4 linked regions of the Pelodiscus sinensis genome follow. The protein of the gene in region 2 purifies or fractionates together with the protein of the main gene of each other region. This does not show direct contact. Links are inferred from orthologs where the notes say so. Each region holds a gene or a part of one and is shown on either strand. Other genes may lie near its edges.

Region 1 (7,076 bases), on a different chromosome or scaffold from region 2:
GACCCAGTGGGAGCATACAGCAAGGCAGCACAGCCAGGTTCACTAAGCCTTCACATAGCCCCAGATCTCTGGACACAGCCCCCTGCCCATCTCCCACGCCTGGGGACCTGCCTTGCCCCCGCTGGCCAGCCCACAGTCAAGCCAGAGTGCCCCATTGTGCCCCCTGCCCTCCCCAGCCGCACCTCCTGGGAGCTTCTCCTTCTCGCCCGTAGACAGGCCCAGCTGCTCGGCCAGCTCCTTCTGCATGGGGCCCAGCGTGTCCTTGTAGGGGCAGCGCGTCGTCCAGTGGTCGCCCTTGCAGATCCGGCACGACACGATCTTCTGCCCCTTCAGCTTGTTCATGGGGTCCTCCTCCTCCTGGCAGTTCAGGTCCTACAGCAGAGGGGGAGCCCCGTCAGCCCCACGGCGCCCTCCTCGCCAGGGGCAGGGCCCCGGACTCCACCCCGGCGAGCCTGGACTCCCCCCGCCTCTTAGAGCAGCCCAGCTCCAACGCACGGGGGCAGGAGGGCCCATGGGTTGCTGTCAGAGCCCTGGGCCCCCCCGCCACTCCCCGCTCTGCCCTCACCTCCTTGCTGGTGATGAAGGTCATGAAGACGTCATCGCTCACGGTGGTCGTGGCCACGTTGGGGCCCGGAGCGTCGAACTCGGAGTTGCCGAATTTCTTCCAGTTCTGGGCAAGAGCCAATGAGCTGGTGGGGGAGGGGCTGAGGAGACCGTCCCCCCGTTCCCCACACGCACTCCCTGGGCCTTGCCGTCTCAGGCCCTGACACCAAGCGTCCTGCAGGCACGGGAGCCCCGGCTGACACCGGGACCCAGCTCTGCTGCCCAGCAGGTCAAGGGGCTCCCAGGGGAGCAGTGGGGTGGGACTAGGCTGGGGCACTTCCCAGCGCCCTGCACACACCTGTGATCCCACCCCCCGGCCAGCGGCCAGGGCCGAGCTCACTCACCTTCCGACGCGCCACAGCCTTAGAGGCCTTCCTGGTCTCAATGCGGAAGGTGCGGATGATCTGGGACATAAGCACAGAAGAGCAGCCCGGCGGGGTCAGACCAACGGCCCACCCAGCCCAGGGTCCGGGCTGCCGACAGCGGCCACTGCCAGACGCCCCAGCGGGACCGGACAGAGCCCTCCAGTGAGCCGCCCCCCTTGCCCATTCCCAGCCTCTGACAGAGGCCAGAGACTCCATTTCTAGCCACCCTGGCCCTTGGCTCTGGACTCAGCAGCCCCCTGGCTCTGCGAGCTCCTTTCGAGGCCTTTCCCGGCTGCTTTGGACTGACCACAGTACCAGTCGCTGAGAGCCCTGGGGTCAGGTGGGGTCACAGCTTGCCGGGGGGGGCCTGCCACCCCATGCTCCAGCTGCCATGCCTGCCTGCCGGGCCATGGGGCAGGAGGGCCACAGGGCGCGTGGGGGCTTCGGAGGGGGGTGAGTCCTAGCAGGGCCAGTCCTTGCGATTAGGAGAAAGTGGCCGAGAAGCGAAAGCAAATGAAGCCCCAGACTGGGGAGCCCCACTGCTCAGGGGCTGGGAAGGGCTTTGCAGACGCAGGATTCCAGCCGGGAGCCCAGGGAACTCTAGGGCCTGCTCTCCAGCGCCCCCCCCACTCACCTTCACTTTGCGCCCATCCTCCTCCTCCCGGTACTCTGTGATGGTTTTGATGTTCCCGTTGATTAGCTCCTTTGGGGACGGGAGAGGACCTACAGAGGGAAGGGGAAGCCGGTAAGAACTGTGAGACCAGGTGCTCCTGGCAGGGGGTCCTGCACCCCGGCGGCTCTTACCTCCCTTCAGCAGCTCAGCATCTGCGCTCAGGTCCACGCTCTGGGGGGTCACGGTCGGGGTCACGCTCAGCCCCCCACTCAGGGGCAGGTCCTTCAGCAGCTCGCTAGTGACGCATTTGTCTGGGAAGAGAAGCGAGGTCGCGGCACTGATCTAAGGATGGGAGGGGAAGGACGCCCCCTCCGCCCCGGGGCTGGGAGAGGCTGCAACCAGCCTGCCCCCCCCGGCACAGAGCAACCAGCCTGCCCCCCCCTCCTCAGACCATCCCCCCCCCGGCACAGAGCAACCAGCCTGCCCCCCCCCAGACCATCCCCCCCCCCGGCACAGAGCAACCAGCCTGCCCCCCCCCTCAGACCATCCCCCCCCCCCGGCACAGAGCAACCAGCCTGCCCCCCCCTCCTCAGACCATCCCCCCCCCGGCACAGAGCAACCAGCCTGCCCCCCCCTCCTCAGACCCCCCCCCCCCAGGAGGAAGCCCCAGGGCAGGGGACCCCCAGGCTCTGGCCCTGCAGCAGCTCAGCGCAGTCACCCGCGTCCCGGCAAGTGGGGGGGCCCGGCCCCCGGGAGCTGCAGGCTCGAACCCGGCCCCCAGCCGGGAGGGGCGGGGGGGTCCGGGGGGGTCCCGGCGCGCGGGGGCTTCTCACCATCGTCGCCTTCCTCCTCCACCTGGTCCGCCCAGCTGGGCTTCGAGCTGCGGGACAGAGACAGTCACAGAGCGGCCCCCCCGAGAGACCCCCGGCCCCGCCCCCTCCGGCCCCGAGAGCCCCCCGAGAGCCCCCCGGCCCCGCCCCCCGAGAGCCCCCTCGGCTCCCCCCGGCCCCGCCCCCGAGAGACCCCCGGCCCCGCCCCGGCCCCGCCCCCCGAGAGCCCCCCGGCCCCCCCCGCCCCCGCGCCCCCCGAGAGACCCCCGGCCCCGCCCCGGCCCCGCCCCCCGAGAGCCCCCCCGGCCCCGCCCCGGCCCCGCCCCCCGAGAGCCCCCCGGCTCCCCCCGCCCCCCGAGAGCCCCCCCGGCCCCCGAGATCCCCCCCCGGCCCCGCCCCCCGAGAGCCCCCCGGCCCCCTCGGCTCCGCCCCTCACTCGTAGTCCCCCGTGGGCATGGCGGCGACGGCAGGACTCAGCCTCGCTCCCTCTCTCGCGCGGGCCGGAAGCGGAAGCGCGCGGGGCAGCGAGTCGCGGCTAGAGCGGCCCCGTGGGCATGGCGGCGCGGGGCCTGCTGGGAGAGGGCGTGGCGCTGCAGTGCATGCCGGGAGCCGCACCTGGCCGGGAGCGGGGAGGGGCGGAGCTGGCGCGGTACATGCCGGGAGACGCACCTGCTGCGGGGCTGTAGCGGCGGCGCCCCCTGCTGGGCGGGGTCCGGGCTCCCGCAGGGCGCAGCGCTGGGACCCCCGGCCATAGCGCACATGGGGGGGGCGCTGGGACCCCCCGGCCATAGCGCACATGGGGGGACGCTGGGACCCCCCGGCCATAGCGCACATGGGGGGCGCTGGGACCCCCCGGCCATAGCGCACATGGGGGGACGCTGGGACCCCCCGGCCATAGCGCACATGGGGGGACGCTGGGACCCCCGGCCATAGCGCACGTGGGGGGACGCTGGGACCCCCCGGCCATAGCGCACATGGGGGGCGCTGGGACCCCCGGCCATAGCGCACGTGGGGGGACGCTGGGACCCCCCGGCCATAGCGCACATGGGGGGCGCTGGGACCCCCGGCCATAGCGCGGGGGGGGGCGCTGGGACCCCCGGCCATAGCGCACATGGGGGGACGCTGGGACCCCCGGCCATAGCGCACATGGGGGGGCGCTGGGACCCCCGGCCATAGCGCACGTGGGGGGACGCTGGGACCCCCCGGCCATAGCGCACATGGGGGGGCGCTGGGACCCCCCGGCCATAGCGCACATGGGGGGGGCGCTGGGACCCCCCGGCCATAGCGCACATGGGGGGTGCTGGGACCCCCCGGCCATAGCGCACATGGGGGGTGCTGGGACCCCCCGGCCATAGCGCACGTGGGGGGACGCTGGGACCCCCCGGCCATAGCGCACATGGGGGGTGCTGGGACCCCCCGGCCATAGCGCACATGGGGGGCGCTGGGACCCCCGGCCATAGCACACATGCGGGGCGCTGGGACCCCCGGCCATAGCGCACATGGGGAGACGCTGCGGCTCCAAGGCACAGCCTACTAGGCAGCACTGCTCCAGCAAGCCTGCCCCAAGGTTGGAAACGTCAAAGGGAACAGCTGGGAACCGCGGGGCAGGGGCCAGGCCTCTCCCAGGGATCTGCCCTGCTGCTGAGCAGAGTCCGGCCTGCGTGTTCTCCCCTCGCTGGGGCAGGGGCAGCACGGCCCCAGGGCACGGCCCTGGGTTGTGAGCCCACCTCATAGACCGTTGCCGCCCCCGCCCCCCATTTCCCACCCCTCGTAGACCCGTGGGGCAGAGTGAGGCGCCAGTAGGAAAGGGAGGCGTGCAGGCTCCAGTTACGCCATTATTAAGTGCTCAGATGGTCCTAAGTTGGACGGGGCTGCGAGTGGGTCAATTCAAACTGATCCGGACAGACTGGAGAAATTGTCTAAGCTACATCGGGTGAAGTTTAAGAAGGAGAAACGCCAAGTGCTCCACTTAGGGAGGAACAATCCGTGTCTCTCACACAATGGGAAGTGACTGTCTAGGAGAGTTCGGCAGAAAGGGAGCCAGGGGTCAGAGTGGACCACAAGCTAAATGAGTCAGCAGCCTGACACTGTTGTAAAAAAAGCCAACGTGACTGTGCACTACATGAAGAATGATGAACGGTCTGGGGAACATGACGGATGAAGGGAGGCTGAAGGAATTGGCTTCGTTTAGTTTGGAAAGGAGATTTGAGAGGGGACATGAGAGCGGTTCTCAGGTATCTAAAAGGGTGTCATGAGGACAGAGAAAACTTGTTCTCCTTGGCCTCTGAGGACAGGACAAGAAGCACTGGGCTTAAACGGCAGCAAGGGAGGTTCAGGCTGGACATTAGGAAAGTTCCCAACTGTCAGAGGGGGTCAAACACTGGAATAAGTTGCCGGGGGAGGGGGGGGGGGGAGTTGTGGAATCTCCATCGCTCGTGATACTTAAGAGCAGGTTGGACAGACCTCTATCAGGGATGGTCTAGACCAGGGCTACTCAACACGTGGGCCACGTGGCTGTGACGTAGTGGGGGTACCTGGCTGGTTTCTATGCTGCTGGCTCTGGGGTAACCCCACTGGCTGCAGTTGGTACCACGGCCCAGCAAACCAGGATGAGTCATTATGCAAAGAGGGTCTCTCAACCTGTCTGACCAGCCACCCCCCATGGAGAGGAACAAAGGAAGGTGGATGCTGCCCTGGCTGGGGGGCAGGGCTGGAGGAGAGGTGGTTAGTTCCTGGCTGGAAAGCAGGGGAGAAGGAGCTGGGGAGGGGGCTGGGACTCCCCTATCTCAAGGGGGGCACTGAGGCCTCCTAGCCCCAGTTCCTGTAACCAGATGACATCTGTGCTGGGCTGTATCGTGGAGAAGCAATAAACTCCCCGCAACCCTGTGGAAGGCCTGGCCAGCCCAGGCACAAGCAGCAGAACGCAGAGTCCATGGAAAGACGGAGGCTTCTGAGAAACTGGAGACCCCGGCACCCTCCGGAGACATCTCGCTGTTCACAGGCGTGCTGCATTCGGGCCCCTCCGGGAGCAGCATGGAGCCCAGCGCCGCAGCGGTACAGCCATGGCCTCGTGCCGGCTGGGGGGGCGAGCAGGATCAGGGGGAGCCTGCAGCGCAGCAGCTTCCAGTCGGCGCCTCACACACGGCGCAGCAACAGCCGCCAGGAAGGGGAAGCAGAAGCGTCCCCGAGGGGATAATTTACAGGCGAGATTTATTTGAAGAAATATTACAACATATAAAAACTACAGAGTATTAATTGCCACTCGCAGGAAGTGGCTGATTATTTTCAATGCATAATAAAAACATCGTCCTTAAAATCCAGAATGCGGTGGGGCACTGCACAGCCGATCACGAATGATTAGTAGTGACACTTGGACCATCACACACAGCTCCCGCGGCGCCAGGGAGACGAACACGGAGACAGACCTCGTCACGGCAGCAAGCCCAACGAGAACAGAACACACGAAAATCAGTGCATGGTTGAGTCCGAGGCCGGGGACTCGGGCTAGTCCGCCACTTCCATCTTGGCTGCTTTGCTGGGCTCTGCCAAGGGCCAAGAGGGTCAACGTCACCCCAGGTCCCACTTCAGCCTGGCCCCCCAGCAAGGCTGAGAGTTGGGAGCCACTAGCCAGTCTGGGCAGCAGGCGGCGCCGTAACACGAACACCCACAAGCCGCCCGCTTTGAGACCCTGGCGGGGCGGCCTCCGGGTGCCACTCAGCCAGCTGCTCAGGGACCTTTCTAAAGCTGCGGCCCTGCCGATCCTCCCCCAAGCCGGGCCGGGCGGGGGCGTCGAGCGTGGGCAGCAGGCGGCCAAGGGGGAGAACAGACGCCAGCCCACTAGCCGAGGACAGACCGCCGAGCCCGCAGGAGGGCAGCCCCACGGTTCCGTTTTCACGTTCCCTCAGCACAGGCACAGAGGCCCGGAGTCCGCCCGCCCCCGAGGTACCTGTGGCCTCCTCTTTCATTTTCGCCGACACGCACGCCTTGATCTCCAGCCCGATGGATTTGGCCAGCGGCGGAGGCACCGCGTTCCCGACCTGCCGAGAGAGGGGGGAGCTCACACGGGCCCAGATCCGGCCACGAGCTCCCAGTGCGATCACACCCGTGACCCTCTGAGCCAGCCCCTCTCCCCCCCGGGACCCTGCTTCCCAGCCGCCTCTCTGCCCCCTGCTGCTGAGGCGGGGCGCTGGCCCTCCACCACTCACCTGCTTAGCCCCCCGCCCAGGAGCCCTCCCCCGCCGTGAACCTAGGGGTGGCGCTGGGCTCGGCTCCTGCGCGCAGACGCCCCGCCCGGCGACACCCACCTGCCTGTGTTTGTCCAGCACGTTCCCGAAGAGCCTGTAGGTGTCAGGGAAGCCCTGCGACCGCGCGCACTCCCGCACGCTCACCACCCGGTGCTGCTCCGGGTGAAGCACCCGGCCCTGGTAAAGAGAGGCAGCTGTGGCCAAGGGCCCGCACAGGAGGCTCTCGCCCACAAGGCCACGCTGTGTGGCCGCCTCCCCGCCCCCCAGCCCCTGCCAGGTCGCGCTCACCCACCTGCTTGCCCATGGGCTCCGGGTTGGTGACGGTGGTGCTGAAGAAGCCGTCCCACTCCAGCCGGCCGTACAGCCCCGCCCAGTGGTTGTGCCGGTTGCCGGTGTGGGGCAGGCACCAGGGGATGAGGGT
Region 2 (7,063 bases):
GCCTGATCTCCGCTACTTCCCTGCCTCCCCAGTCCTCTGAGGAGATGGTGCTGGGGGGGGGAACCGGCTTTTAAGCTCCCCAGCCACCAGCTCCTGATCCACACTCTGACAGGGGCAGCAAGTAAGGGGGAAGTGACTAGACAAGGCACTAGCTGACTATCCAATAAGCTTTTGTTTATCGGATAGTCGACTAGTCGCTTACATCCCTTGTGTGCAATCTTACTGGGTTAAATAGCAGGGAACCTCAAACTTCACTGCACCGTGATCCCTTTCTGACAACAAACATTACATGACTCCAGGAGCAGGTACCAAAGCTTGAGCCTGCCCGAGCCCCACTGCCCCCAGAAGGGATGGGGCCAAAGCACAAGCCCCACTGCCTAGTCTGTGGGACAAGCCAAAACTCAAGGTCCTCAGTCCTAGGCAGGGGTCCTGGAGCTGTAAGTTGAACCTCACCACCCACAGCTGACACCCTTGGGGTTTGGCCCTATATGGTGGGGCTCAGTCTTAGGCTTCAGCCTCACATTCTAACTAGTCTAAAATAATTCTGGAGACCCCAATAATGGGGTCCTGACTCCAAGTTTGAGAACCACTCCAAATAGTAAAATAGTTGTGATTCAAGAAACAAATCAAAATTCAACTCAACACAACAAATGCCAGTCATCTTTAGATAGTTACACGTGATGGCAGCTAATTACATTCTTCATGTAGCCTCGTAGCTTGGATTCACTAATATTAAACAAAAAGCTCTTCAGAATACAATAACTGAAGATCATAACCCTCATAAAAGCAATCCTACCCACTCACACTGATCCTACCTACCTACCCGCTAACCTTCTTTACTCTCCCTACTGTTTAAATTTTTTTTCACTCTGTAGACCCTTGAAAGATCCACCAATCACTGGTTTTTGACAGGCTAGTTTAAAAATCCCTCTGCCAGATAATGTAAAACAGTGGTCTCCAACCTTTTTAAGCACAAGATCACTTTTTGAATTTAAGTCAGTCCAAGATCTACCTCAAACCCAAATACCTACTCCACCCCTTCACCAAAGCACCACCCTCCTTACTCTGTGAAGATGGGGTACAGGGAATGGGGTCAGAGTGACATCAATGCCCCTCTGCCTCTGTCTCCCCCACTCTGAACAAGCAGGAGGCTCGGAGGGGCAGTTCTGAGCAAGAGCAGCAGGATAGTGCAGGGAGGGGCAACTGGAACACAGGCACTTGATAGCCTCCCAGCCAAACCTGTCAGGATCACCTGTCAGAGGCTCCAAGATCTACTGGTAGATCCTGATCTACTGGTTGGTGACCACTGATCTAAAATAAGTATAGGATAAGAAACGAGCATGTGAGTTATTTCATTGTCCTGGGCCGCAAATATGCAGATACTAACAATGTTAGTGGGTTTAAAAATAAAAGGCAATTAAGTTTACTCTGTACTTTAAGGTACATTAACATGAAAGGTACTTCAGAGATTTGGTTTAATAGATTTTATATTATAACTTAAGAGTAGCGTTTTAATATCAGAGGGATAGCCATGTTAGTCTATCTGCAAAAACAATCAAGAGTCCTGTGGCACCTTAAAGACTACAAGTTTTTCCCCCCATGTTTTTAAACCCACAAAAGCTTCTGCCCAAACACATCTGTTAGTCTTTAAGGTGCTATAGGTCTCTTGTTGATTCTTAAGTTTTAATTTAAGTATACTTTACAAATGCTAATACAGAAGAGGGATCTCTACTGCTCACACATGCACAGAAGCTAACACCGTGAGCCTCTCAAGGCAGACACACTATCCCCACTGTGCATTTGTAAGTATAACAAAGTGCCCCTATCCTGAAAGAGATTTTGAACATGCTGCTGTAACAGAAACATCACATACATCCAGCTCACGCCACGCAGCAGGTCACAGAGAGGCTTGGGTGAGCACCCGCTCCAGCTGTCCCCCCTCCCTCCGGTGTCACCGGACCAGCTGCAGCCCAGCGGGATGGCACCGCCTGGCACTGGGGGAGTCTGGAAGACACGCGCCTCCGCGACTAGTCAGCAAGGGGACCACGGTACGCGGCTCCATGCTCTTCTCAGCAGGAGCACAGCTCGGCGAGCCGGGCCTAGAGACTCCCATCAGGCCGCCACTCCCATCAGTGCCGCGACTTCAGGCAGGGCACGGGCGCCCGCCTCCCTCACGCGGCGCCGGGGAGAACGGAGCGTCCAGGGCCCCGTCTGCGGACTTTACGCCCCCTCAGGCCAGGCGAGCACGCCGGTCTCTGAGGGCTCCACAGGCCTGTGGTCCCTGCCGCTCGCCCCTTCCCGCCCCGCCTGACCAGGCCTAGGCCCCAGCGGCGCAGCCTCGGCCTCCGCACCTTCCTCGCTGATGTCGTCCTCGAAATCCTCCGGGTCGCTGAAGGAGATGTCGTCCTCGGGCTCCTCCGCCGACTCGGCCCCCTCCCGCTCCTCGGCCTCCGCCTTCTCCTCGGGGGTCTGGCGGCCGGGCGGCTCCTCCTGGCTGGCGGCCTCCTCGGCAGCGGGGGGCTCCTCCTCCTCCTCCGAAGCGGGCGATGGCGGCGTCTCCCCCTGCGAAGCGGGCGATGGCGGCGTCTCCGGGGAAGTGGGCGATGGCGGCGCCGGCTGCTCCGCCTGAGAGCCGGGCGGCGGCGAGGCCTCTTCCTCCCGCTGGAGGGGCCCGTCCGGCAGCTCGGGCTCGTCCCCGGACCCCTCGGCTCCGGCCGCGGCCGCCTGACTCTCCTCCGTCTCCTGCATGGGGAGGGGGTCGCTGCTGGGCCGGCCGCGCTCAGTCGGACTCTCCGGGGAAAGGCAGGGGGGAGGGGAGTCTCCTACTCCTAGGCCATGTGCGCGAGACCCGGCGGGCATGGCGAAGCGGAACACACCAACTCCTCGCGTGTGCGTGGGGGGGGGATGGCTTTTCACCCGCTGCTTTCCTCTGGCCACACGCGCGACAATCACCCGGGTCTCTTCTCTGTCCTGCTTCCCACAGAGCCTGAGGGCGACTTCAATCTCTATCTCCCATCAAGCCCCATTCTCCCTATTTCATACACAAGGTTGGTTTAGTCCAACATGGCGGCCCTCGTCTGCAGCCCTACGTGAGATCTGTCTGAACCATCTTGGACGGTGAAAAGGGAGGGATACCAAATACACTTCTTTGTACAGATTAAAAATAAAATGCGCCCTGTGTATAGGATACATGAGTGTGTTTAAAACAATGAAGTCGAAGTGAGAAAACGGTAAAATGAGGAGACAATATAGCCCTAGTACCCCTACAAATGTGGTGTAATGGACTTGTCCAACTCATGGACGCTACTAACGTCAATCGAAGGGAGGGTCACGATTGGTCGTGAGGCGCTATTGCTGCAGAGGCGACGCAGAGCAAAAACCGGAGAGAATATTTGAACCCCCAATTAGATGGGGTCATGTTAAGGATGGTACGGTCCAAGAAGAGCCGCCACATCATCGCTAGCCTTCACGTGATCGGAAGAGCACTTCGCATGGAGGTTCCAGGCGCTGGGAATAGGCACGTGTGGCAGCCGTCCTGTGTCATGGAATCACAGGGCTGGAAGAGACCTCAGGAGATCATCGAGTCCAGCCCCCGGCCCAATGCAGGACCTGTCCCAATTAAATGTGGCACCTTAGAGACACGCACTCTCTCTAGACACGTATATAGTATCATGAGTTTTCCCAGTGTTATTCTGGTGTGGCAGGGATATGATGAAGCCCTGTTTTCTGTCTGGAGCAAAGGCCCTAGGAAAATGTGTGCAGAGCTGCTCACCTCCAGGAAGCCAGCTCCTCCCAGTGTCACACCTGAAAGAGGCTCTTACGGTCAGGGATACAGAGCAATTAAGTTTGGGGCACCACCTGCAAGCTGGCCACAGCCTAAAGGCATAAGGTATGAGATAATGAGTAGAGTCCTGCAAACTGGCAGATACCTACTTTGTATTTGTATCCATAGCCACTGTTCATTTTTGCAGGTATGGCTATGAATACACATACAAAGTTTGTATCTAGAACCCTACAAGTTTGCAGCTAGTCACTTTATATCTGTGGGTATCCACACCCACAGATGTCTGTGCAGATATTTTTGTAGATGCAGGTATAAATTTTGTATCTGCACAGGGCTCTAATGATGAGCCATTCATTCATGTAAGGGCCCCAAGTCCAGTGGATCCCTACATGGATGGCCCTGAGTATTGAGATGTGGGGAGTTACTGTCTCATCAGAAGCAAAAGACATGGGATACAGAGCTCTCTGTCATTTCAGCAAAAACAAGGAGTCTGGTGGCACTTGAAAGACTAAATTTATTAGTTTTTCAAGTGCCAGTGGACTCCTTGTTTTTTGCTGAAATAGACTTAACATGGCTACCGCTTTGAAATCTGATGACTGGATAAGGGATGGCTGAAAGGAACCTTTGCTTATGTAATGAAAGATAAAGACTACCTTGAAACTGGGGGTGCATCTACACTGCACCCTAAACTCGAAATAAGAAATGCAAGTTGTGCTACGCAAATTGTGTATTTTATTTTGATTTTATTTCAAAATAGGCTATTTCGATCCATTCCTTATTCCTCGTGCAATGAGGTTTATAGAGATGGCTAAATAGCATGTCCATTATTTCGAAAAATACTTAGAAATAATGGGTGTGTTCCCTTAGAGGACGGGTTGCTATTTCAGATAGCCAGTAAACATTACAAGCATGCTTGCCTGATAACTGATTAACTGGAGATCCGGGCACGGGGAGGGAAGGCACAGCCTCCCTCCCACTTTGGCCTGGACAGCAAGACCCCACTAGACTGGAGCAGTCCCCTACTCTCAGCATAGCAGGAGCCCAGACCCAGCCAGCAGCCTTGCTGTCAGTCACAGGAACCCAGCCATCCAAAGCAATTCCTTGCCTGCAGCTTGACGGAGTAGGACCCCAGGTGTCCAGAGCAGTCCTGAGGTGAGGTGGGATCTTGGCCAGCCAGAGCAGTCCCCTGCCCACAGCACAGCGGGACCCCAGCTGGCTATGGAAACCCCCAACCTGTGGCATGACCCCAGCTGATTGAAGCAGCCCTGCAGTGTGGCAGGATCATTGCCGGCTGGAGCAGTTGCCCTGCCAACACAAGGCCACCTGTGGCATGACCCCAGCTGATTGAAGCAGCCCTGCAGCGTGGCAGGATCATTGCTGGCTGGAGCAGCTGCCCTGCCAACACAAGGCCATGCTGGACCCTCAGCAATCTGGCTGTACCCCAGTTAACCAGTTAAATTATTAAAATTATATCATGTAATTGGTTAACCTTTTTAATGAGAATTTACATCCCTACTTGAAATTATTTATTTAGAAGGTCACCATCAACTTGAAATCTAGTAATTTTGTTAATATGAATTAAGTCATTTCTGGTGACTATTGTTGTCTGCCATTTTTTTAGTCAATCACATTTTCCCCCTTTGAAAAATATTTGCACTTGCCCAGTGTGCTCCACTTCCCTTGGGATCCTGCCGCCATGAGAAGTATGGGTGTCTGTGATTGCTGCTGCTGCACAGCACTAGGCCCTCCCCAGTGATCCCAAAGCTGCATCCTCAGGGATGGGGTGCCATGAGGGGCAGAGACCAGGGTGTTGGTGGGACAGGGCAGGATTTGGGGTTGGTAGCAAATAGGGCCTCCCTGGCCCACCAGGAGTCCCAGACTGCATTGCACAATTGCTCCAACAGGTGATGGCTTGTGGGCTGAGAGTTTGAGATCGCTGCCGTAAACATTCTGCATACAGAACAATGAGGTAAATACCCATTATGTTTGCAGCACTGAGTCCATTTGCCCCTGCCATTTCCATGGTGCAAATGACCCAAAAGTTTTCCCTCTTACTCCAATAATTGTTATTTATATTACAATAGTGCCTAGAGGTGTCCTATTCATCAGAAATGTGCAAATGTGCACCACCAGAAGGAACACAAAACCCAGCCTTGGGTGCCCTGCTAATCAGCTGGGTGGCATTTGAATCACTCCCGAGTGACTGTACGTGCACAGCTTACAGGGAACACTGATTACATGACCTGTTCCAGTATTTTTAAATGTAACAGGGTTGTCTATGAGAAAGCTGATGGGTCCCAACATTATCCTAAAGCATGAAACTGAAGTATGTGTTTAAGTGTTTTGCTAAATCAGGGCCATTGTCCTGAAATGATGTTGTGATATGATGGTGTTTAGATGGGAGATAATATTTGGATGTGCTTTACTCCTGCCAGAACAGAAGGTTGTGTGGTGGCATGATCACAGAGCATGATGGCACTGCATCAGAATGCTGTGGTATCAACACTGCCTCACAAGAGTTCCTAGCCGTGACACCACACAATAGCAGGGCCGTCAGACTGTCTCTGTGCCATGCTGGAGAAGGATGGTGATATGTGACGTGCCATGCACAATGTGACACCCGGGGAGCTGGGGGAGGTGGCATGCTGTGTCCCCGTAACAGGGTGATGAGCACAGAAGGTGGGGTGGGGGTGGAGAACAGACTAAAGTACTGCTGTGGGGAGGGAAAGAGAATGGACATTAATGCAAACATTGGAACATTATAGTGACCCCAGTCACCTCCCTCATGCTCCCCCATCTCTTCCTCCCTCTCCCTTTGTCCCCCTTTCTAGCGCTCTCCCGGCCTGGTGTTCCCATTTATCCCTCAGCGTCTCCTCCATCGCCTCCCCCTTGTATGTCCTTCCTTCCCCCTCCCCCGGCGTCCTCTCTCCTCCCGCGTCCCATCCCTGCCTGGGGACTCCCCAGCTCAGCCTCCCAGGCCCAGCCCCGCCCCCAGGGCAGGCGGAGTCGGGCTCTCCAGCCCCCCACCGCCCGCTCCGCCCCTCTGGCGAGGAAGAAGAGGGAGGCCTGGGGTTCTGGACTCACATGACCGCTGGCGAGATGGACGGGGAGGTGTCCGCAGGCGCGGGGGGAGCCGGCACAGGTACGGAACGGGGCAGCGGGGAGGGGGGCTGCCTTGCCCAGGGTGCCGGGGCTGCTCTTCCTCCCGCCCGCCCAAGGACGCGTAGCGCTGCAGGAGGGTGTCACTCCCCCCACCAAGGGAGCTGGGCGCAGGAGGAG
Region 3 (7,423 bases), on a different chromosome or scaffold from region 2:
GGGAATGGGGGGGAAGAGGGGAGGAAGCAAGGAGGTCCAACCACCACCTTACCTGGGTGAAAGGCTATGAACTCAAACCTCAAGAAACCACCTCGTGTTCTGCCTCCTCCAGCCGCCGCCTCAGCCACAGCATTGGGCAAAATCAGCCACAGAGACAACTGTTTTTAACAACAACAACAAAACTAGGGGTCCTGCATTTTGCTTCAGCTACCCCAGACTAACATGGCTACATTTCTATCACTAGGGATAGTTTTGAGACAGTAAAATTGACAGTTGTTTGACAAGATTGTTATTCAAGCTGTGATTTTAGAACTGATTGCAAAATCCACAGATCCACTTATGACCAAGCTTACCATGAGGAATCTCATCTGAATAAAGGTTTTTGTACACATCCATAGCAAAATCCACCATGTTGGTATCACTAAGAAGGTCCAATTTTCCTTGAAGTAATTCTTTTTCATTGTATATCTGAAAAAAATAAGTTAAATGATTTCTTGTGACACAGTGAACAGCTCTTTATAAGGACTTAAAAATAGCTCTGCCTATTTACGAATAAGGTGACGATAACAGAACCTTATATTTTACATTAAGTAAACTCTCCACAATTCTTTCCCACAAGCAGAAGACGCCATGGCAGTGGTCACCAACCAGTGGAACAAAATCTACTGGTAGATCCTGGAAACTCAGGAAGGTGATCCTCACTAGTTTGGCCAGGAGACTGTCAAGCGCTGTCACTTCAACTGCCCTTCCCTCACTGCCATGCTGCTCCTGCCCTCTGCCTTGGAGCTGTCCCGTGGAGTCTCTTTGCTGTGAAGGGCAGGCGAGCCAGATGATGTCAGGGTGTCCCCCTCCCACAACCTTGTACCCATCTCTACAGAGGGGGGAAAAACAACACAACAGGGCTTGGGATGAAGGAAGCTTGCTAGAAACAGTGCCTAAGGCTGAACATGTTCGGCATACATAAAGGAGCAATTTGAATCTCTGTCCCTGGGCCTCTCCTGTACTCAAACTTTCTCCCAGAGCCTGTACCTCAACCTCTGCCCCAGCTTGGTGAAAGTGAGTGAGGATGGGGGAGGAACAGACAGAGTGAGCAGGGCAGGGCCTCAGAGAGGGAATGGAGCCTTAGAGAAGAGGTAGGACAAGGATATTTGGATTTGAGGTAGATCCTGAATTGCACTTAAATTAAAAAATGATCTTGTGCTTAAAAAGATTGGAGACCACTGCTCTATAGGATATTTGTATGTCCTATGGTGGGAACATGGAGTCTTGTACATTGCACTGTAGTAAAATGTTAAATATTTTAACATCAACGAATATTCTGCTCTATGACCTTTAACATTATACCTGGCTTGATCATTTACATTCAGTAAGAACCACATGGCTGAAGCGTGATAAATCCAATGGAAATATTACACTAATTTTTAAGTAAAGTATGTATGGCTATAGACTAAATTAATGCAGACAGATGACCACAGAAAGCAGTGGGGGGGCTGAGGCAGGGCAGACAAGGTCTACCACTGCCGTGGTCTTACCCCCACCCCCAGGCAATGTCTACACTGGCAGCATCTTGTGCAAGAAAAGAAGCCTTGCGCAAGAAAAGAAGCCTTGCGCAAGAAAAGAAGCCTTGCGCAAGAAAACATCCACGCTGCCATGTGTGAGCTGTGCTGGACGCTCTCTTGCGCAAGAAAGCTCTGATGACCATTTTAGCCATAGGGCTTTCTTGTGCAAGAAATTCCTGCTGAGCGTCCACACTGCCCCCTTGCACAAGAGCTCCTCCGCAAAAGGGCTTACACCTGTTAAAAAAGAACGTAGCTCTTCCGCAAGAAGCCCTCTCTTACCACGCCATACTGTAAATTTCCTTGCGCAAGAGCAGGCGGGCAGTATGGACACACTGTGGATTCTTGCGCAAGAACGGCCATAGTTGCACAAGAAGCCGGGAGTGTAGACATAACCAGAGACAGTACTCTAGGTTAATTCATAGGAAGGTTAAGGCAGCAGTCACGGAGGCGCGGCGCCCCCAAAATGTGGGGTCTGACTCTGTTTTGATGATTCTTTGTCACAAACAGTCAAAATCTAACAAAGTGGGTCTTTGCCCACGAAAGCTTATGCTCCTACACTTCAGTTAGTCTATAAGGTGCCACAGGACTCCTCGCGGCTTTAGTCAAAAACTAAGTAAAACTGAATTCACTGGAACAGCCTGTCCAGCTTGTTGAATTCTCCCCCTCCCTCCCGAACACTGAATTCTAATAAAGTGTAATGGATTCTTTCTTTTTACAAAAACCATGTTTGCCTCTTCCCTAACAAATTATGTCCCTCTATGTGTAGATACATCAGTTTAAGCCTCAGAGCCACCAGGTTCTTCAAGAACACTAGAAGGTTTACAGGAGACAAACTATGGTGGTAAGAAAAGTCTCCCCTGCCTAGGGAGCGATGGAAGAGCGGAGACAAGCCGATACAAGGGCAGCTCCGCGAGGTTTGGCGGCAAGTCCCTTGTCTCACGGTGGGGGAAACTTCCCCCAATCCGCCACGTGTGGGGACGGGGCCCAAGCCGCGGGCAGCTGAGGAAGGATCCCCGCCCTGCCCCTGTGAGGAAAGGGGCCCCAAGTCTGCCGTGGGTGGGCGGGGAAAGATTCCTCCTCCCCGCATCCGGCCTGCGAGCAGCTGGGGCAGGCCCAGGCAGGGGCTTCACGAACACCCTGCGCACCGCCGGCTCGTGACGCTGCCTGTGCGACAGGCCCCGCGGGGAGGCCGAAGGCAGCCGGGCGGCTCCGGGCCTCGTTACCGCTCTCCCCGCTGGCTGGTTTCCGCCTCCCACGTGCCAGCTGCGAGCCCGCGAGGGGCGGGCCCGGTCTCCACGTACCTCCTTGACGGACAGGAACTCGAGCAGCGGGAAGACCAGGTGCCGGTCCAAGAAGTGCGCGATGCGGGTGGTCAGGTCGTACTCCGCCATCTTGGGAAAAGGAGGGGCGGGGCCGCAGCCGCCCCGCTTCCCCCCACGCGCACGGACGCGCACAGCGACGCGGCTACGACGCCGTCGCGAGAAGGACGGAGGGAAAAGGCGTGGTCTGGGGGGAAGAGAGCGCGCGTGCGTGGCGTGGCGTGACGTGACAGCGAGAGGGCGCGGGGCTGTGCGCGTGCGTGCGGAGATGGCCCGAGCCGCGCGTGCGAGTCTGGCTGAGGGCTGGCAGCCAGTCGGAGTTCTAAAGAAGCTTCGTGTCCTTTCCTACGTCGTGCGCGCGCTGCGCGTGGCTTGACTCAGCGTGGCCGGAGCCGCTCAGCGGTGTGGCCCTGTCCGGGGCTTCCCCACCTACAAGCTGCTCTGGCTGCATTGAAACCCCTCCCTTGGCCCCCTGAGTTGCATGGCACGTGCAGGCCCCTACGCAGGCATTGCCCGGGGAGGGGGGGGTCTTTTTTGGTAAATGTGGACCACTGTTTGTTTTAAATATAAAGTTCAAAATAGGCACCTAATGAGTTTAGATAAGAGAGGTTAATGAAAAACTTGAGTGGAAACTGATGGGTAAAGTGATTTTGTTATGCTAGACATTTATACTGCAATAAAGATTTTATAGAAATTACCTTCTGGGATCTTCCCATCATATTGTAAATGAAAAACCATATTGCAAAATATTGCAGTCTCCCTCTCTGGTTGCCCAGGAAGGCTGGGGAAGAGTCAGACTGTGGCTGGCTAGGCTGCCTGGCCTGACCTGTGGGAGGGACTGGTGGCTACCCAGTCTCCTGCCAGAGCAGCAGAGCCCTGCCCCTCTACGGGAGGGCTACGTCTAGCCTGGCATGATTTTCTGCAAGTGCTTTAAAAGGAAAAGTTTTCTGTTAAAAGCATTTGCGGAAAAGAGCGTCTAGTTTGTCACGGACGCTTTTCCACAAAAGCACTTTTTGAGGAAAAGTGTCCGTGCCAATCTAGACATGCTTTTTTGTGCAAACCAAATCGGAGCTGTCTACACTGGCCCTTTTGCGCAGAAGGACTTTTGCCCAAACGGAAGCAGCACAGTATTTCCGCAAGAAGCACTGATTTCTTACATGAGATCGTCAGTGTTCTTGCCGTAATTCAAGTGGCCAGCTGTCACATTACCTAATTTGAGGGAAGCAGCCAGATCGCTGCTGCACCCCTAGGTGGGGGTGGTGGCTCCAGAAAATGGTATAAAAGGGGGCCATGTGGGGTGCTGAATAGAAGCTTATTATCTGATAATCCTATGTAAGATATTTATGTGGTTGTATAATGTCTGTGTGTGTAGTTAGGAATCTGTAGTCTGTGTGGATACTGAATATTTCTCTGAATGTGGTTGAGCATTGGGCAGAGCCTGGCCTATGGACATGCTAATCATAAAGGCCCTGTGGGACAATGGCACTCGATGGGCCAAGGACACACCTAAAGCATGAGGGCGGACATCTAAGAGCTGCCAGCAGAGAGAGGCTGAGGACCAGGTGACCTGCTGCAGCCAAGAAGAGGCCAGGAAGGTGGTATAAAGAGGCCATGTGGTCGAAGCCAACTTGGTTCTCAGCTCAGCACTTCATCCCAGAGGCAGCATTGCAAGGATCGAAGAGCCCGGAAGACCTGTGAACCCATCCTGATACTAGGATGTGCAACAAGAACTTTTAAACCAGCAGCTGTAACATCTCTGCTAGAGCCTGCATCGAGGACTGGGAGATTCGGTGCATGTAACGTACTATTCTTTAACAACCTTACTCTCATGCTTTTCTTTCTTGTGATAATAAACCTTTAGATATAGATTCTAAAGGATTGGCTCAGCGTGATTTGTGGGTAAGATCCAGAGGGTAAATTGACCAGGGATCTGCGACTGGTTTCTTGGAACTGGACAGAACTTGTTCTGGGTAGGTGAGATTGGGTGCTAGGACCCCTCCCCCCATCTGTGTATGAGGCCTGGGGCCATCTGGGGCACGGATATTGCTGGGGTGTCAGAGGGGTTTTGCTCATGAGGCTTCAGGCAGGCTGCTGAAGCGCTCTGTGGGACTGGTTTGTGGCCTGTTTGGAGAGGTCACCAGTCTGGGGGCTGTAAGGAGCCCAGGATTTGAGCAATTCGCCCTGAGCGGACGCCCTCAGCTGTGCCCAGACATGGCCTGGTCTGTCACATCAGTGTAGGCAGCTGCTTTTGCGGAAAAACTTGCCAGTCTAGACACAGCTGCGGGGGGGGGGGGGGGGGGGAAGCTGGGGGAAGGAGCGGCAGGGGAGAAATCAGCCCCAGCCTACCTCTGGCGGGCAAGAGACAGGCTAAGGAGCCTTGGACAGTGTGCTGCTCCTGCCTTCCCCCAGCCATCTGGAGGAGGGAGGCTCAGGCAGCACACTGCTCCTGCCTTTTCCCAGCCAGCCAGAATCGGCCTCATGGGTGACCAAGGGGGGAGGTCTGTTTGCACCCTTCACACACCCCTGCCACTGCATATGGCCCTGACACGGGATGATCAGAGACATAAAATCACCACAAATACATAACAGAGAGGCTCTTCCAAGTATGATTATCATACCATGTCTTCAGTCTAGCAGTTTGCTCAGCATTTATTGTATTTTTCATCTCCTTAGTAAAGATACTTACTTTAGCTACACTGCCCTCTCTTGCGCAAAAAAATACGCAAAGGAGGTGAAGTGTGGAATATTGCTGTGCCTCATTTGTATAATTAATGAAGTTCCATTTTTGTGCAAGAGCCGTTCTTCCGGAAAAAAAGCATAATGGGTCTTGCGCTAGAGGGGTTTTTTGCACAAAAAGGAGCTGTGTAGATGGCTCCATTTGCACAAAAGCCTCTTGCGCAAAAACAGCCTAATTAATTATGCAAATGAGATGTGGTGATAGTCCACATTTCACCTCATTTGCATATTTTTTGCACAAGAGAGGGGCCGTGTAGATGTAGTAAGTGTGTTTTGGGGATTTAGCATAGAAAGGGTGTAAGGAGACTTTGTATGTTATGGCCCCACCACCTGTGGAGTTACATTTCCTTTCCAGGGGTAATCCCATGCGAAAAAACACCATCACTACCACCACTGAGATTGCTTTGTGTTGTTTGCCCCCATCACTCAGTATCTGATGCTTAGCTGTGGGGAGGAGTTTAACTGCCAGAGAAGTGGCTGTTGCTGTCCCTTCATTAGCTGGATCATTAGCATATGTACTGACAGCACACTTCTTGGAAGAACCCCCAACCCTGTCTTAAAGAGACAGAATAGTCCAATGGCACGTTACAACAAGGGTAAGCAGCTTTTCCAAAGTGGCATGCCAAGGTTTAACTCTCCTGCCCTGGGTCATGCCGCTCTCCCGGGAGGGGGGAAGATGCCCTCTCCACTGCACACCCCATGGACCACCTCGGTCAATGCACAACTTTCTGTGGACTACCAGTTGCTAATGGAAACTCACTGTTAATTGCATATGAAAGAAGATCCTATAAATATGGGGTGCCTTGCATGGGACTCCGGGTCTCATCTTGGAGCATCGGTCTGGACCGACAGAAGCCTGGCTCCTCACTTCTCCTCCCCTGGAGAAAGGGTTTTTTTTTTGCACAAAATGGAAGCGGCTACACAGATTCTTTTTGCTCAAAAAGAAACGGCAGAAAATATGCTAATGATGTCGCAACTTATGCTAATGAGTCTCTCATTAGCATATTTTCTGCTGCAAAAACGAGTACTGTAGACAAAGCCTAAGTGAGCCAGTTAAGCTTATGAGATGTGCAATGTGCTCAACAAAAGAAGCAAAATCTTTTAAAAAAACAAATTAAAAGGTTTTTTCCCTCCTCCCCCCGCAAAGGGCTGTTGAGGTAGCCCTGGAGTATTGGTATAAACCATACAAATTCTAGATATGGTGTACTGTCCCATGTAGTGGCACTTAGACCACTTACAGAGAGAAAGAATAAGTCTGCTCTGCAGCCATAGCTGAGCACCAACTGACTTTTAGCTCAAGCTGTAGAGGCTCATGCAGTAAGTTCTAGAAGTCCAAGGCTTGGTTCCACACTGGACTCTCTGGTGCAATGATCATAGCCTTAGTTTGATCACTACTTGTGACCAAAAGAATGTTGCCAGAATCTATCATCTTTAAGAGAAGATGTTAGTGGCTCTATCAAGTACCCCAAAATCTGGGCCACTATCAAGCTTCCATGTGGCACAGCAAATATCAAGGCAATCTGGGTAACTTTGTAAAATTTAGCACACTTAGAAGAGTTTCACTTTAAACGAAAACCTGGTCTGAATCCTAAAACGTTAGCTGATGATGCTGTTTTATCTTTCCTGTTTGGTTCACCAATGATTCAACATAAGCCTTTTCAAGGTAGTCAGCCATCACAGGATGGGCAACCTATTCAGATAATATTGCATATTATGTGTGGGTGTGCAGGAAGGGAAGCACTTATGTGAGATGAGAGGAAGGAATGAAGGAAGTTATTTTCATAATCAAATGATATCAAAGGTAATATA
Region 4 (7,733 bases), on a different chromosome or scaffold from region 2:
TACAGAGTGATCTAGAACTTCAAAACTGACCAGTGAATCACAGGAGCATCATCAAAACATTGCTCCCCCCCACACTGGAAAAGAGAAGAAGAATCTATCAGCAAGAATAATGTACTCTCCTGATTTCTGTACAAAGTCACTGCAGAAATTTAGACTCCTTCCTGCAATGCCCCCATCATTCTCCCTTGCTGCCTCCAGCTTGCCTTACAATAGGATGACAAGCAACTTTAAGTAGATGACAGATATGGAGAATGACAAAAAACACTTTGCTACTAGAGACTTGCAACTACAACATGTGTCTGTTAGTCAATATCCAACTGTCTACAGAGCTTTGTTACCCTGCCTGACAGTTTTGGGGGGGGGGTTAAACACCAAGACTTTTTCATCTTAGGCAGAAGGGTCTGAGCACGAGACTAACATAACATCAAGAAGAGAACTTTTCATCTCACCAAGTGTTTATAAGCTTCTTAGCTGCATAACTTGCACTTCTGACCCCTAGCTACTTAAAGAGGGAGTGGAAGTTCACTTTTGGCTTTAAGCTCAGTGCAATGGAGCAGTTATATTCCATTTCAGCACCTATATACCACAGCAATGGATACTTTAGAAATGCCTAGGTAGAAAGGCACTGGCAGATCTGGCAGTGGGAGCATGAGAAACTGCTGTCTTCCATAAATCAGCAGTTCTGGATGGATACACATGCCCTATTTCACATTGCTATGAGACTAGGAAATACAAGATCAAGATTAAGCAGAAATTGGGGGGGGGGGAGAAAACAGTCCGGGTGGTGGAGATGAAGATTTATAATGAAGGGAGTGAAGTAACAGCATCTGCTTTATTGCAATGCTGACCAAGTTAAAGCTTTGAGTGGCAATTTGCATGTGGCACAGTGTAGAAGTGGAGCTACTGAATCTTTGCTTCATGTTGGGAGGGGATGACTCACAGATCAAGGTTCAATGTGCCTGGGAGGGGAAGGAAGAGTTCAAACTTGAAGCTCAGCCCTGCTCTCATTGAAGTTAAGTTCCTTTGAATTCAATGACAGCAGCAGCAAGTCCTTGAAACATCTGTCTGCTCTCAGGGTGAACTGCAATAAGCACCAAGAGAAAACAAGACCCATGTTGTCAATTCAACTCTTCTCCAAGACACCATTAGAAGTCTCTAGTACGAGAGAAACCGTTTATCTCAACAAGACCAAAGCCCACAATATTCACATGGGGTCACTGCCTTGAGCTAGCCTTCTTGCTCTGGCCACCATCCACAACAAACCTCCGACTTCCAACCGAGATCTGCCATTAACACTGAAGCCACGAGGCAGCGCTAGCTGTTACAGTTTGGGCAGTGTGCCTGGTGGTGCCAGCAGAATACCAAAAACATAGAAGAGCCCCAGCAGGAGATTGAGCTTGGCTGTCCGCTGGGGAAGTTTGCTGAAACTCTGGCTCCGGAACTGCCTCTCCAGCGAAAAGGCCATAGGAATGGTAAGTAGTGGTAGTGCCATGCTGATGGTATAGCGTGTGGCCAAGACGCAAAAAATCAGGTAGGGCAGGAAGAGTAGTGTGTTGTAGAGCATGTAGGAGAACATGGGGCCAATGAGGATAGCCAGGGTGACAATGCCTGCTTGCTGGTCAGATTCCATGTCCCGAGTGTTGTTGCTGTGCAGGATGGCCTCCGTGCTGAGGGCTAGTGGGATAGCATAGAGCAGCGGTGAGACAGACAGATAGCCAACCTGCACGGCATGGGCAAACATAACAGCCAGGGGTCCAAACGTGATGAGGATCACCAAGTCGCCAAGTGCAACATATTTAAATCCAATTCCTGTGGCAATAAACAAGATGAAAACAAGTGTCAAGTGTTACCAAGTAAAATTTACTTTACAGAGAACAACAGATGTTTCTTAAACAGATCAGCTCCTAAAAATTGCTGTAAAAGCCAATACACAGCTAGGGCAGGGCTACACACGTTCTTTTATTGCCCCAGAATTGATTATCCTTTACCCTTTCCAAAGATAATAAAGCAAATACAATTTTTGCAATTTCCAGTCTCAACCAGTGAGCAAAGATTAAGGGGCAGATTCCAGTTATCCATCTGGAATACCTTATTCCACAAGCAGTCCTACTGAAGTCAAAGGGATTACACATGAAGTACAGTGCTACCCAATGTGAATACAGATAGAATCTGTCCATGAGCTGATGCAACAATGAGAGTAGAGTAACAGCTGCTACATCTTCCAAATGATAGTTTGTGAATCCTAGAAACTAATCTTACTTATAGCAAAACACAGGGTATGTCTCTTCATCTACCAGATAGCTTAACTGATGAGGCAAAATCAACTTTTTTTATCTTGAAATGTCCCTTAAAAATATCTTAAGTTTACTTTTCATTTGAAATTAGATCTGGCCAATAACAAATAACAAACCCTACTGATAGTACACATTGGGCTCCCTCCATGGAGAAGAGAGCATAAATAATTAATCAAACCAGCTGACATACACCAGATATACATTTCACACACAATTTCTGCAGAGACTTAAGAGTATGGAGTACAACCCTTACCTCCAGTATAAAGGAAAGAGCTGGAAAGTCCACCAAAGTAAATCAGGGCCAGGTGCTCCAGCTTGAGAGTAGAGAGACAGTAGAGGCAGGCAGCACAGACACAGCCCAGAGTATAGAGGAAGACCCCAAATCGAACCACATCCTGAGGCTCCAAGATCTGGTCCACCAATGTCCGGTCATCACTCTTCTTGTGGTCAATACCCTTTGAGAAGTCATAGTAGGTATTAACCAAGTTGCCTGCTCCATGCACAGCCAGGACAGCCACTGCACTGCCCACTAGCAGCCCTGGGTCTAGGGATCCTTGGGACCGATAGGCTAGGGCACTGCCCAGAGCTACAGGAGTCAGAGAGGCACTGAAGCTCCAGGGCCGCAGGGCCAGGACATAGGCTGCACATTTCTGCCTCCAGGTGCCTGGATGGCTCTTCTCAGAGCTTAGCAGCCCTACACCCAGCTCCCCCAGGTCAACACTTCTAGGGCTCTCAGCACTGATGCTAATCTTCTCTGTCTGATCCTCAGACTCCATGCTCTTCACGCAGCTGCTTCAAGAGAAGGTGCTGGACAGAGACCTGGGAAAGCCAGGAGAGTTTGCATTAGTAACTGTAGCCTAAAAAGGAAACCGGCTTCTCCGGTGGCTCAACGGTGGCACACAACCCGGGGGGGAGCTGCCAGGCCGTGGGGGAGTCCGCCCGCAATGTGAACCTCTGCCCACAGCAGCACAGAGAGCGAGTGGCAGGGCCCATCCCATGCTGGGCACCACAAGGGAGAAGCCGGGTCCTCCCGTGGCTTTCACCTCCACGTGCGGCGCCTCGGCCCCCGCAGCCCATTTCCCCGACCTCCGTGTCCCCTGCGGGAGGAAGAAAAGGCCCCAGGGGCAGGGGCGCAGCCCGGGTGAGGCGCCGGGGAGGCAGCTCCGAACCCGGGGCGGGGCTGAGCTTGCTTCCCCGACTTACGGGGCTTAGGGTGGCTCCAGGGCCCCCTCGCCTGTTGCAGAGCCAGGTCCCCGACAGGCCTCTCCGCTCACGAGCAGGCCGGGCACTCGGGACCACGGCAACCACCCGGAGGTGCTACGTGTGCACCAGCCAGGCCGGCCCCTCCAGAAACAAGGGCACCGCTTACCGAGGTTCCGCTTGCTCTGAGGGCAACTCAGGGCCTGAGGAGGGGGAAGGATGGGGGAAGAGCCCCACCCACACTGTTAGTAACTCAATGGGGGGGGTGCCTTCTCGCAGGGGCGAGGTGGCATAGTTAGGTGAAACCCCTTCCTTGGCGTCACTCAGCCAGTCCCTAGCAGAGCTGAGGGTTGACCCTTGCAACCCCATTTCCATTCTTTAGCTAGAGACTATAGAGACTTCCCTATGCCCAGCGCTGCACACTGGTGCTTGTGATGCTGCATGCACACACAGGCCCATGCAGGCGGAACAGTCTACCTGGGCCATTGTTTGCAAGATCAGAGCCTTAACCTCTCCAAGCCTCAATTTTCCCAATCTGCAAAACCCGGGATAACAATCCAGAGAGAGTAATATGCGGGAAATACTCAAATAAACTGGTAATAAGTGATAGAGGAAAAGCGTAGGACGTTAATACCTGCCACATTTATTAAGTTATTAACCATTATTATGAACTATTACGGAGCATCCACATCTGTTCATGGGTAACAATAACAAGCCTGTTTATTTGAACACTTCCCCATTAACATTAGCAGTAGATCATGGCTATTAAACGCTCTGTGCGGATTATCATTGTACCTATTCGCTATTCTACGTGTCACAAACGCGGCTGGCTTCTACACGCGTCATTACGGGAACAGAGCGCTCTTCGGGGGGGACTCATTTCATGGCTGCACCCAGAACAGTAGAGACGCTGACAGCGGGGGATAAAAGGGTTCACGCGGCGGAAGACTCCTACAGTCTCCACGCTTAGAAAAAGGGCCGATGCGGCGCCTTTTCCGCTTGCGCACAAACCTGTATCGCTTCAGAAAGGGCGGAAGCAAGGCGGCTTTCCAAAGACGGGGGCAAACTCTGAATTCTAACCAATTACGCGGCCTCTCGCTGACCATTGGTGAATCTAAATGTCAGTCTATCACTCTCTGCCCTTTGATTGGCCAGAAGTAACTCCACCCGCCTCCAGCGGGTTTTTTTTTTGGAAGGGGTGGAACCACGAGCCGCCTAGTAAACCCTCCTGCCCCGCAAAACTATTGGCTGGGCCACCTGCTAGTTACAGTCCCCTCAACGCCGATTGGCTGGCGGTTTTTCGCCGGGCCGGCGGCAGCAGTGGGGGGGAGGGGAAACCCGGGGCCCAAGCTGGGGAGCCGGTCGCGGCTGGGCCGGGTGGAGGCGGTGAGTGAGGGGGGCCCCGATCCGGAGCTGGGAAGTCATCCCCCTCCCCCCAACGCCGGACTGCGGGGGCTGCCTCCCCTCCCCCACCGCCCGGCCGGCTGGCGCAGGCGTCCAGCAGCCGGAGCCCTGTCAGCGGGGCCGGGGCGCTGCCCTGGGGGCTGCTGGCAGGGGCCCGCCCCGCAGCACGGGAGATGCCCGGAGCTGGTAGCCCCCCCCCCCCCCCGGGGCCTCCCCGCTCTGCTGCCGCCGGGGCTGGGACCGTGGCCTTGGAGCTGCGCCGGCTTCCCCCTCGCCCCTCGGGGAGCGGCCGGGTCTGAGCCCCCCGCTCATGCGGGCAAGGCCGCTGCCCTTGGCTCTGGGCCCGGATCCTAGGCCTGGTTGGCCCTCGCTAGGCAGGCTGCGTCCACCCCTCGTGCATTTCTCTCTCCGGAGAAGAGGGCGCCTCTCTGGGCTGCTCCTCCAGCCTGGGTCCGAGCACGGGAGCCGGCCCTGGCCTGGGGGGATGCTGGTAGCTGGAAAGATTCCACACTAGACTCAGAGGCATCTGCTGTACCCGAGGATTTTAACGACGCAGGGTTGTCCAGTAGCTAGTGAGGAATAGGGACCCAGGGCTCCTTAAGGGTCTGACCCTAGTTCTGCTACTCATTTGCTGTTTGCCCAGTAGTAAAGTCTGTGACCGGTTTCCCCCTTTCTTAAAAAGTGTATTTTTAACCTTTGCAAAAAAAAAAAATGCACCTATCACCATGGTTTCCAGACATGCACAATATTAAACATCCCATTAAAGCAGTGATGGGCGATCTATTTAGCGAGCGGGCTGCATGAATCTCCAGCCTGCATCTTAGCGGGCTGCAGAATTAACATAACCACGGTGGTCTCCCAGGTTAAGGTAGTTTTGCTAACTCTGCTTGCATGCCTAGAACTTTCAGGGTGAGCCAATTGAACCGTAGCAGTGCTTTGATTGGATGCAACAGGAACACTCGGCTCTTGCAGTCAATGTTGTATGCAAACAGCATGTACCTCACTTCATGTTGCCCACCACTGCATTACAATGATGGTTGCTGGCATGAACAGATTCTCGGCCTATAAATATACATTGGGGTTTGACTGTGTTTGTAAAGAATTTTCTGTTCTTGGATGAAAGGCAACATAGAGGAGCAAATTAGAGTAACAATAATATTGACATGCATGCCAAGCGGTCCTTATCCTCCTTGTAACTTTGCATGACTGGGAACACCTCGGAAGCACAGCCCAGTGTGTATATTTGGGCGTGGATTTGATTTGAGCATGTCACATGTGAGCATGAATGGTTTGGGATGAGACTGGGGGAGTAAGGGAGGTTAAGCTCCGACCTGCTTCTGTAGGATGCACTGAAGGACTTAGCAACCTAGTGAAGGACTTAGTGGCCAGGGTACAGACTCTTAGATTCCACAGATCTTGGTGAGACTTAAGTGAACTCTGGAGCCCTACCAAGGTCTGTGAAATGTGAGAGCCTGTACCTCTGTCATGGATCTCATGGAATCTTTGTAGTTACTGTGGCATCTGAGAGCCCACTGTGTCTCATGGCATGTGTATTTGGGAGCAGTAATTTGGAGCAGTGTGGTGGAGGGAGCTATAATTGGCTTCTGCAAAAGCAAAAAATAGGTTTTCTGTATAAAAGGTCCACCGGACTTGATGCCCCAAGCCCTGACTCATCACCACCATGTCGGGCACCGTGTCCATCCTTCAGCACTTTGCCAGCGGCCTGAAGAGCCGCAATGAAGAAATCAGGGCAAAAGCCGCCAAGGACTTGCAGCATTATGTCACCATGGAGCTCCGTGAGGTAAGTGCTGTAGATGTGGAAGCAGCAGCATTTAGCTGGGGAGATATGTTTGTATTATGTGGCTGGGGAATGAGAGGTGTCACCAGTAGGGATGTAAGTGACTAGTTAAGTGCTGTAGATGTGGAAACAGCAGCATTTAGCTGAGGAGATATGTTTGTATTATTTGGCTGGGGAATGAGAGGTGTCACTAGTAGGGATGTAAGTGACTATTTAAGTGACTACTTGACTATTCGCTATCCACACCCACCCCCACACCCCAGCCCCGCTGTCTCTGGGGGTAGATCCCAGAGCTGGTGCAAGCTGGGACTGAGCAGTCCCGGCTCGGGCCGGCTGTGGGACCTGTACAGCTCTGTATTTTAAATGTAGTAAGAGCTGCCTTTGAATTTGGGAGCCTGGAAAGTGTTGTTGCCCTTCTTCATCTGGGGCACAGGTAGTGGAAAAGGGATTATAAATCGGTCTGAATTCCTTTCCTGTGCAGATGAGCCAAGAGGAATCCACTCGTTTCTACGATCAGTTGAATCACCACATATTTGAACTGGTCTCTAGTTCTGATGCGAATGAAAGGAAAGGAGGCATTCTGGCTATAGGTGAGTAAAGGAATTCATCAGCATCTTTGGTGAACTTCCTCTTCAAGTTCTATAGAGGCAGGTTGTCAAAAGAACTCTGCACCTACAAGAGGCACTCTGTATGCTGAAGAGAGCTCAGTGCAATGAGGGTGTATGGGATGCAGAACTCTTAAAACTCTGAGGCTGCTCAAGAGGGCTTATACCTGAGCAGGAGCGTCGGAGTATTTGCGCAATAACCACTGATTTTGTACATTACAAAGTCAGTGTTCTTGCACAAATAGTCGTGGCCAGTGTAGACAGGCGGCAAGATTTTGCGCAAAATTGGCCACTTTTGCTCAAAATCATGCCAGTCTAGACGCAGCTTGACTGTAAATGTCACATTGGGAGCTGTTGGTTGCTGAGCACTTCTGAAAATCTGGCCCTATGCTCTTTATAGTGTCCAGTGTTGTTGGTGGTCATAATAGGCCA

What was found.
Region 1: the proteins of EIF3B (region 2) and EIF3G purify together in Homo sapiens (affinity purification with mass spectrometry; 12 studies listed by BioGRID and IntAct, counting the BioPlex papers as one, with this or other methods). This does not show direct contact. The link is inferred for Pelodiscus sinensis from reciprocal best matches to the Homo sapiens genes EIF3B and EIF3G.
Region 3: the proteins of EIF3B (region 2) and EIF3E purify together in Homo sapiens (affinity purification with mass spectrometry; 9 studies listed by BioGRID and IntAct, counting the BioPlex papers as one, with this or other methods). This does not show direct contact. The link is inferred for Pelodiscus sinensis from reciprocal best matches to the Homo sapiens genes EIF3B and EIF3E.
Region 4: the proteins of EIF3B (region 2) and MTOR purify together in Homo sapiens (affinity purification with western blotting; 3 studies listed by BioGRID and IntAct, with this or other methods). This does not show direct contact. The link is inferred for Pelodiscus sinensis from reciprocal best matches to the Homo sapiens genes EIF3B and MTOR.

Annotation. Positions count from the first base shown.
Region 1 is NC_134729.1:14,996,256-15,003,331, forward strand, and holds the start of EIF3G (eukaryotic translation initiation factor 3 subunit G), read right to left. Parts: upstream 3,007-7,076; 5' UTR 2,868-3,006; coding exon 2,848-2,867; intron 2,462-2,847; coding exon 2,415-2,461; intron 1,893-2,414; coding exon 1,773-1,892; intron 1,692-1,772; coding exon 1,603-1,691; intron 1,008-1,602; coding exon 948-1,007; intron 671-947; coding exon 566-670; intron 373-565; coding exon 183-372; intron 1-182. Other genes in the region: DNMT1 (DNA (cytosine-5)-methyltransferase 1), read right to left, coding at 5,916-5,953, 6,358-6,448, 6,716-6,832, 6,948-7,076. UniProt on the Homo sapiens protein: RNA-binding component of the eukaryotic translation initiation factor 3 (eIF-3) complex, which is required for several steps in the initiation of protein synthesis.
Region 2 is NC_134726.1:28,589,095-28,596,157, reverse strand, and holds the start of EIF3B (eukaryotic translation initiation factor 3 subunit B), read right to left. Parts: upstream 3,016-7,063; 5' UTR 2,860-3,015; coding exon 2,352-2,859; intron 2,049-2,351; exon of another isoform or gene 1,915-2,048; intron 1-1,914.
Region 3 is NC_134712.1:30,022,401-30,029,823, reverse strand, and holds the start of EIF3E (eukaryotic translation initiation factor 3 subunit E), read right to left. Parts: upstream 3,020-7,423; 5' UTR 2,951-3,019; coding exon 2,861-2,950; intron 469-2,860; coding exon 354-468; intron 1-353. UniProt on the Homo sapiens protein: Component of the eukaryotic translation initiation factor 3 (eIF-3) complex, which is required for several steps in the initiation of protein synthesis.
Region 4 is NC_134733.1:11,465,896-11,473,628, forward strand, and holds the start of MTOR (serine/threonine-protein kinase mTOR), read left to right. Parts: upstream 1-4,728; 5' UTR 4,729-4,880; intron 4,881-6,537; 5' UTR 6,538-6,579; coding exon 6,580-6,699; intron 6,700-7,177; coding exon 7,178-7,286; intron 7,287-7,733. Other genes in the region: UBIAD1 (ubiA prenyltransferase domain-containing protein 1), read right to left, coding at 1,322-1,809, 2,548-3,070. UniProt on the Homo sapiens protein: Serine/threonine protein kinase which is a central regulator of cellular metabolism, growth and survival in response to hormones, growth factors, nutrients, energy and stress signals.